Stegostoma tigrinum: one gene and its partner. The protein of the gene in region 2 interacts with the protein of the main gene of each other region in a pairwise test. Links are inferred from orthologs where the notes say so. Each region holds a gene or a part of one and is shown on either strand. Other genes may lie near its edges.

The links.
Region 1: the proteins of pogzb (region 2) and transcriptional regulator QRICH1-like interact in binary tests that used the Homo sapiens proteins (3 or more experiments, as listed by UniProt). The two-hybrid records come from large-scale screens. The link is inferred for Stegostoma tigrinum from reciprocal best matches to the Homo sapiens genes POGZ and QRICH1.

The regions. Positions count from the first base shown.
Region 1 is NC_081364.1:994,007-997,755, forward strand, and holds the start of transcriptional regulator QRICH1-like, read right to left. Parts: upstream 2,694-3,749; 5' UTR 2,574-2,693; coding exon 2,571-2,573; intron 1-2,570. UniProt on the Homo sapiens protein: Transcriptional regulator that acts as a mediator of the integrated stress response (ISR) through transcriptional control of protein homeostasis under conditions of ER stress.
Region 2 is NC_081400.1:4,828,110-4,831,858, forward strand, and holds the start of pogzb (pogo transposable element with ZNF domain), read right to left. Parts: upstream 2,340-3,749; 5' UTR 2,072-2,339; intron 212-2,071; exon of another isoform or gene 1-211. UniProt on the Homo sapiens protein: Plays a role in mitotic cell cycle progression and is involved in kinetochore assembly and mitotic sister chromatid cohesion.

The sequences.
Region 1 (3,749 bases), on a different chromosome or scaffold from region 2:
AATGGCAGACATTTAGCAAAATAATTCACAACTCACCAGCAGAGGTACATCCCAGTGAGGAAGGGGATAAATCGACCATGGTATTAAGGACAGTATCAAATCCAAATTGAAAAAAACACAATGTTTTTGTGGTAAGCCAGAGTATTGGTAAAGAGAAGAAAAAGCAATATTGAGAGCAAACTATAAAGTAATATCAAGGAAACAGTAGACAAACTGAGAAAATATTCCACATTAGTCTTCAAGATAGAAAGCACTAACAGCATTCCAAAAATACTAAATGATCAATGGACAATATCAGGGGTGCAGGGGAAATAAATCACTAGAGAAAAAGTACTAGGTAAAGCAATGAGTCTAAAGGCAGTTAAATCCCCTGGACTTGATGGGATGCATTCTAGGTTAAAGGTAGTAGTCTTCCAAGAATTCCAATAGGTTATACAAGTCCGAGAGGAATGGAAAACTATCAATGTAATAGCCTTGTACAAAAAGGGAGACAGCAAAACAAAAAAGACAACTACAGGCCAATTAGCTTAACATCCAGGAGAAATTACTGCAGATGCTGGAATCTATGCTGAAAACAAAAAATGCTGCAGATCATAGCGGGTCAGGCAGCATCCAGGCAGAGAGAAAATTAATGTTGAGTCTAGATGATTCTCCATCAGAGCTCAACACCTATCATTGGGAAGATGTGAGCGTCTATTAAAAAAATGTAATAACAGAACATTTGGTAATAAATATGTTCAAGCACAGTCTGCAAGGCTTCACAAAGGGGATATCACATCTGACACATTTATTCAACTTCTTTAAACAGGATACATAAGAGGAGAACACGTAAATATAATATATTTGTATTTTCAAATGTGTCTGATAAGGTAACACATGCATGGCTACTTATTAAGACAAGAGCCTGTGGTGTTGGGGTAGTACATTAGCACAGATACAGGATCGATCAAGTAATAGAAGGCAGGAAGTTGGGATATGGGGGGATGCAGTTTAAGGATAGCAACTTGTAACCACTGAAGCACATGGATCTGAGATAGGGCCACAATTATTTACAATATACATTAATGACTTTGATGGGGGAAGTGAATGTACTGGAGCCAAGTTTACGATCAACACAAAAAAGGAAAGACAAAATGTTGCAGAGATAAGGACAGGTTAAATAATTAGTCAAAAAAATTGGCAGATGGAATATCATATGGGGAAATGTTATGCACTTCAACTGGAAGAATAGAAAAGCTGAACATTATTCAGCATACTGTCTATAAGCATTTATTTTTGAAGTTCTCTAACCTAAAGGGTGCTGATGCTCCTTGTGCGTAAATCACAAAATGCTAACACATAAGCTCGACAGGTAATATGGATTCTTGGCCTCTAATTCAAGGGGAATAGAATATTAAAAATACTCTATTGTTTACTTTAACCATGAAAGGCATTAGTCAGACCACAACTGTTTTGGTCCTGTGACCCAAGGGTAGACATATAGGCAGCTCTGGGTATGGAGGGTTTTTTTCTTAAAATTTATTTGTGGGACATGGGCAACATCCTTAGCTGTCCTTGAACTGAGTGACTGGCTAGGCCGTTTCAGAAGGCATATGAGATTCAACCACACTGCTGTGGGTCTGGAGTCACATGAAGATGGCAGATTTCCTTCCCCAAAGTATATTATTGAGCCAGATGGGTTTACGATTTCATGGCCATCATTAGACTGTAGATTCTAAATTCCAGATATTTTATTGAATTCAAATTTCACCATCTGCTGTGACGGGATTTGAACCAGGAAATTAACTAATTTTCTGGATTAGTTATCTACTGATAATACCATTAGGCCAAAGAGGAAAAGGTTGAATAGGTTAGACCTGGACTCATTGGAATTTAAAGGAAGAACAGGATACTATTTGAGAACATGAGATTTTGAGGGATCCTTACAGCATAGAAAGGGAGCGTTTTTCCTTTAATGTGAGGGTGTTATCTCAGAATAAAAGGCCATCCACTTAAATTAGAAATGAGGACTTTCTTCTTCTGGGAAGTAGTGTATCTGTGGAACTGTACTGTAGACAGCTGTTGAAGTTGGGTCATTATTTTCAAGGCTGAAATTTACAGATTTGCAATCAGTAAAGGAATCGAGGGTATTGGGGAAAAGGCTAAAAAAGGGAGTTGAGGATAAGCTATAAACTCGTGAAATAATAGCACAGATTTGATAAGATGAATTGCTTAACTCTGAACCTTTATGTTAAGGAAAAACTCAGTTCACTGAGAGGATTCTAAATCTTTGTGGGGTTCTCTAACCCAGAGGATTGTGGAGGCTTGATTGTTGACTATATTTAAGCCTGGGGTAGACTCATGTTTGGACAGTGAATGAACAGAGGAATATGAGGAGCGGGATCAGCGCGAATGGTAATAAATATCAGTGATCCCTGACGGCTGCGTCTATCTCTCTACGATTCGGCGCTACACAAACGTACCTTACTGGCGTGCAGGCCACTGGAGCCTCGGCGGCTGAGTGCTGCCGGAGCCGATGGCCAAGCACTCCCCGGGCCCTCACCCAGCTCCCTCCCATCCCCCGCTCTCACCATCCTGGGCCCGGTTCGTTCTGGAGCCTGCCTGTCCGCTTCCCTGCAGCCCGCCGACGCCTGCGGCCTTGCCCCCGCTCGATCCTCGGTGTCGGCCCGAACCCAGATCCCGCGGCCGGGGACCTGACGTCAGCGCGCACTGCCTCGGGTGCGAGCACGGCCCTAACCACCCGCGGGAGCGCGCGCTACCTGAACGGGGTGGGGGGGGACGCGCCTTTCTTTCTTTCGCCCCCTCACTTGGCGGGGCCCAGCCGCCCGGTTCCTTGCTTACCTCAGGTGGCAGCGCTGGAGGTACCAGCCGGCCAGACGGGCGGGTGACCTGACGTGAAGGCACGCGGCTCGGCTTCCCCCACCGAGGCCCGGGCTCCTTTTTGCTTTTCCTCCTCCTTCGGAGTCTCACTAAGCCGCCATCTTACAGCCAGCCCGCCTCCGCCAATCAGAGCCGCCGCTAGGCACCCGCCAATCAGCACCAACCTCCAGCCTCCACCAACCAGCGCTGTTTTCCCGCCTCCACCAATCAGAGCCGCAGACCAACAGTAATCTCGCGAGATTCTAGTGCGAACCCAGTGTCCCTTAAAGGGGTCGTGCTGCATCTTGTCGTCGTGGGAACAGCTGGAGGGTTGAGCCTCTCACACCTGCCTTATTCAAATCATTGTCAGTCTGCATCTAATTCCACCTTGTTTCCCTTCCCTTCCCTTTCATGTCAGTCATTTGTTTAACTCTTAAACAAAAGGAAAGAGCTGCGGATGTTGTAAATCAGGAAACAGAACAGAAATTGCTGGAAGAGCTCAGCAGGCATGGCAGCAAATGAACGTTTCTGGTCCAGTGACCCTTCCTCAGAACTGGTGTTATGGGGAGAAGGTAGCAAAATGGCATTATTTGAATTGATCAATTGAAGACCGGTAATAAACATCACTGGGTGAATGGCCTTCATATGTGCCATGACATATCTGTGACTCATTGACAGATTAAATAATGGCCAGGCCATTCAGATAGCTCCCATGATGTTCAGAAATTTCAGAACATACTGATGCATTGTTTCTGAGGAAGGGTCATTGGACCCAAAACTTTAACATGTGTCTGACTCTTACTTGCCCTCTGAAATGGTCAAGCAAACCCCTCCCCCTGCTCAGTCCATGGGAAAAAGCTACCATCCAAGTTCGGTTGGTATTAGGGAAT
Region 2 (3,749 bases):
GAAAGAAGAAACTGTACCACAAAGGAAGATATGAGCGAAAAAAGACCTGACAGGGCCTCAGAGTGAAGACAGAAGAAAAGGAATACGAAAGAGGGTCATTTTGGAGTGGAATAAGTAAAAAAAGAAGAAAGAAGAAAGTTTAAAAATGCATGCGTAGAATAGGGTGAGAAGAATTTACTTGATTTTTTTTTGTTTGTCTGAATTTTTGTGCAGGAAATGTGGGGAGGTGGTGGGAAAACACTACAAGAAAACACCCCATAAAAGTCTTCAAGCCAGAAGGAAATGCCCACAGTCAGCCATGTCGGGGGGGGGGGGGGGGGAGGTGAAGAATACAAGGGAATATTAAAAAGACAGGCAGGAAGAGGAAGTGGGGAAAAGAAAAGCAATATTGAAAAAGGGGGAAGGGGTAAGAGGGAGAAAGTTAAAAAGGGTAGGGGAGAATATTAAAAGAGACAGGAAGAAAGGGGAGAACATTTTTAAAAATGACCGGGAATATTTAAACAAGGTGGAGATATTGAGTGTAAGAAAGAAAAAGGAGGGTATGGAAAGGAAAGGAATATTTAAAAGAGAAAAGGAACAGAAAGAAGGGGCAAGGTGAAACTATTTTGAGAAGGAAATAGAGGGAGAAATATTTACAAGAAGTCAGAGAAGGATATTTAAAAAAATGAGGGGGGAATGTTCTAAAAAAAGAAAAGGGAGGGGATATTTAAAAAACAAAGGAAAGGAATTTCAATAAAGGGAAATAGAACATTTTTAAAGAAGAAAGGGAAGGGGGTAGATAGAATGAGTATTTTGAAAAAACGGGAGGGGAAGAGAGAGAGAGAGGATATTTAAAATAAAAAGGAAGGGAGGGGGAAGAGAAGGCATATTTAAAAACAGAAAGGAAGAGAGAGAATAGAGGGAATATTTAAGAAATGAAGGGGAGAAGAGAGGCAATATTTAAGAATTGAAGGGGAGAGGAGAGGGAATTTAAGAAAAGGAAGGAAGGGGGAGGAGAGGGAATTTTTAAGAAAAGGAAGGTCAAAAGAGAGGGAATATTTAAAAAAAACAAGGGTAGGAGGAAGAGAGAGAAAACATTTAAGAAAAACATAAGCTTTGTAGAGAAGGGGAATGTTTAAAGGAAAAGGGGATTTATTTAAGAAAGGGAATGGGGGAAGAGGGGAAATTTCTGGTTTTAAAGTAGGCGGAGGAGAAAGAACATTTTGGAAGGAGCAAGGATATATTAAGAGGGAATTGGTGGGCAGGGGGGTCAGAGGAAAACACTGTTGGGGGGGTGGATGTCAAGTTAATAACAGGAGGATTCAGAAAGAAAACTGTTGCTGTGGGGGGTGTCAAGTTAATAAAAAAGGGGGATTTAAAAAGAAAACTGTTGTTGTGGGGGGATGTCAATTTAATTAAAAAAAGGGGGATTTAAACAAAAACTGTTGTTGTGAGTGGGGGATGTCAAGTCAATAACGGGGGATTTAAAAAGGAAACTTGTGGTGGGGATGTCAAGTTAATAACAGGGGATTAAAAAAGAAAAGTGTTGCTGGGCGGGGTGTCAAGTTAATAACAGGGGGATTTAAACAAAACTGTTGTTATGGGGGGGGGTGTCAAGTTAATAAAAGGGATTAAAAATGAAAACTGTTGCTGTTTCGGAGATGAAAACGCCCCGTTCGAGCTTTTGAAATTCTGGGGGGGGGGGGGGGGGGGGGGGGGGTGAAGAGAAAGAAAACCGTGACCCCCGCCGCGATCGAGGTCATTTATTTTATTTTATTTATTTATTTACCCCGCAACCTTAGTTTTCCAGTTGCCCCTCCCCCCTCCTAAAATGGCGGCCCTACCCCTCCCCCCACCACACACACAGACACAACCACCTCCCGCCGGCGCGAGAGGCCGCCCGCAACCGCCCCCCCCCCCCCGCCGCCAGGTCCGTTTCAAACCGCCGCGCGCCGCTTCCAACCGTAAAACCCAATTTGAAATTCAACCGTCAACCGTCGCCCCCACCCCGCGCCGCGCGCCGCCCGCCCGCCGCGCGCCTTTTTTCACCGCCCCCCCCCATCCTCCTCCTCCTCCTCCTCCTCCTCCTCACCTTGCTACGAGACGATGTTTTTTTTTGTTGTTGTGTGAGGGGGGGGCGGAATTCTAAAGGTGGGGGGTTTGCGTTTGTGTGTGTTGTGGTGGTGGTGGTGGTGGGGGGGGGGGAAGAAATGTGTGGGTTTCTTGAAACGGAACAGGAACGGTTTCTCTCCGTTTTTCCAGGCCCCCCCCAGGGGCGGGCACGCGCGCCACACACACACACACGCGGGGACACGGTTTTGTTTTTTTGGGGGGGGTCCTGCGAACGGCGGCTGCGTCACTTCCGCTTTCTCCGCCAGACCCCATCCCCTTTTTTCCTGGGTCCGTGAGGTCACTTCCTGCCACCACCTCCTCCTCCTCTTCCATCGTTGACATCCCATAATTGGTGGAAGACAAGGTAAGATTCCCTTTCCTTTCTTCTGGTGGTGCATCAACTCTACCCCCCCCCCCCAACTCAATCCATCTTCCACCCCCCCCCATTGCAACCATTAGTAACACTCCCCCCCCCCCCATCACCACCATCTCTCCACCTCACCCCCCCCCATCACCACCATCTCTCCACCTCACCCCCCCCCATCACCACCATCTCTCCACCTCACCCCCCCCCATCACCACCATCTCTCCACCTCACCCCCCCCCATCACCACCATCTCTCCACCTCACCCCCCCCCATCACCACCATCTCTCCACCTCAACCCCCCCCCATCACCACCATCTCCCTACCTCACCCCCCCATCACCACCATCTCTCCACCTCACCCCCCCCCATCACCACCATCTCTCCACCTCATCCCCCATCACCACCATCTCTCCACCTCACCCCCCCCATCACCACCATCTCTCCACCTCACCCCCCCCATCACCACCATCTCTCCACCTCAACCCCCCATCACCACCATCTCTCCACCTCACCCCCCCCCATCACCACCATCTCTCCACCTCACCCCCCCATCACCACCATCTCTCCACCTCACCCCCCCCATCACCACCATCTCTCCACCTCAACCCCCCATCACCACCATCTCTCCACCTCACCCCCCCCCATCACCACCATCTCTCCACCTCACCCCCCCATCACCACCATCTCTGTACCTCACCCCCCCATCACCACCATCTCTCCACCTCATCCCCCATCACCACCATCTCTCCACCTCACCCCCCCATCACCACCATCTCTCCACCTCACCCCCCCCATCACCACCATCTCTCCACCTCAACCCCCCATCACCACCATCTCTCCACCTCATCCCCCATCACCACCATCTCTCCACCTCACCCCCCCATCACCACCATCTCTCCACCTCACCCCCCCCCCATCACCACCATCTCTCCACCTCACCCCCCCATCACCACCATCTCTCCACCTTAACCCCCCCATCACCACCATCTCCCTACCTCACCCCCCCATCACCACCATCTCTCCACCTCAACCCCCCATCACCACCATCTCTCCACCTCACCCCCCCATCACCACCATCTCTCCACCTCACCCCCCCATCACCACCATCTCCCTACCTCACCCCCCCATCACCACCATCTCTCCACCTCACCCCCCATCACCACCATCTCTCCACCTCACCCCCCATCACCACCATCTCTGTACCTCACCCCCCCATCACCACCATCTCTGTACCTCACCCCCCCATCACCACCATCTCTCCACCTCACCCCCCCATCACCACCATCTCTCCA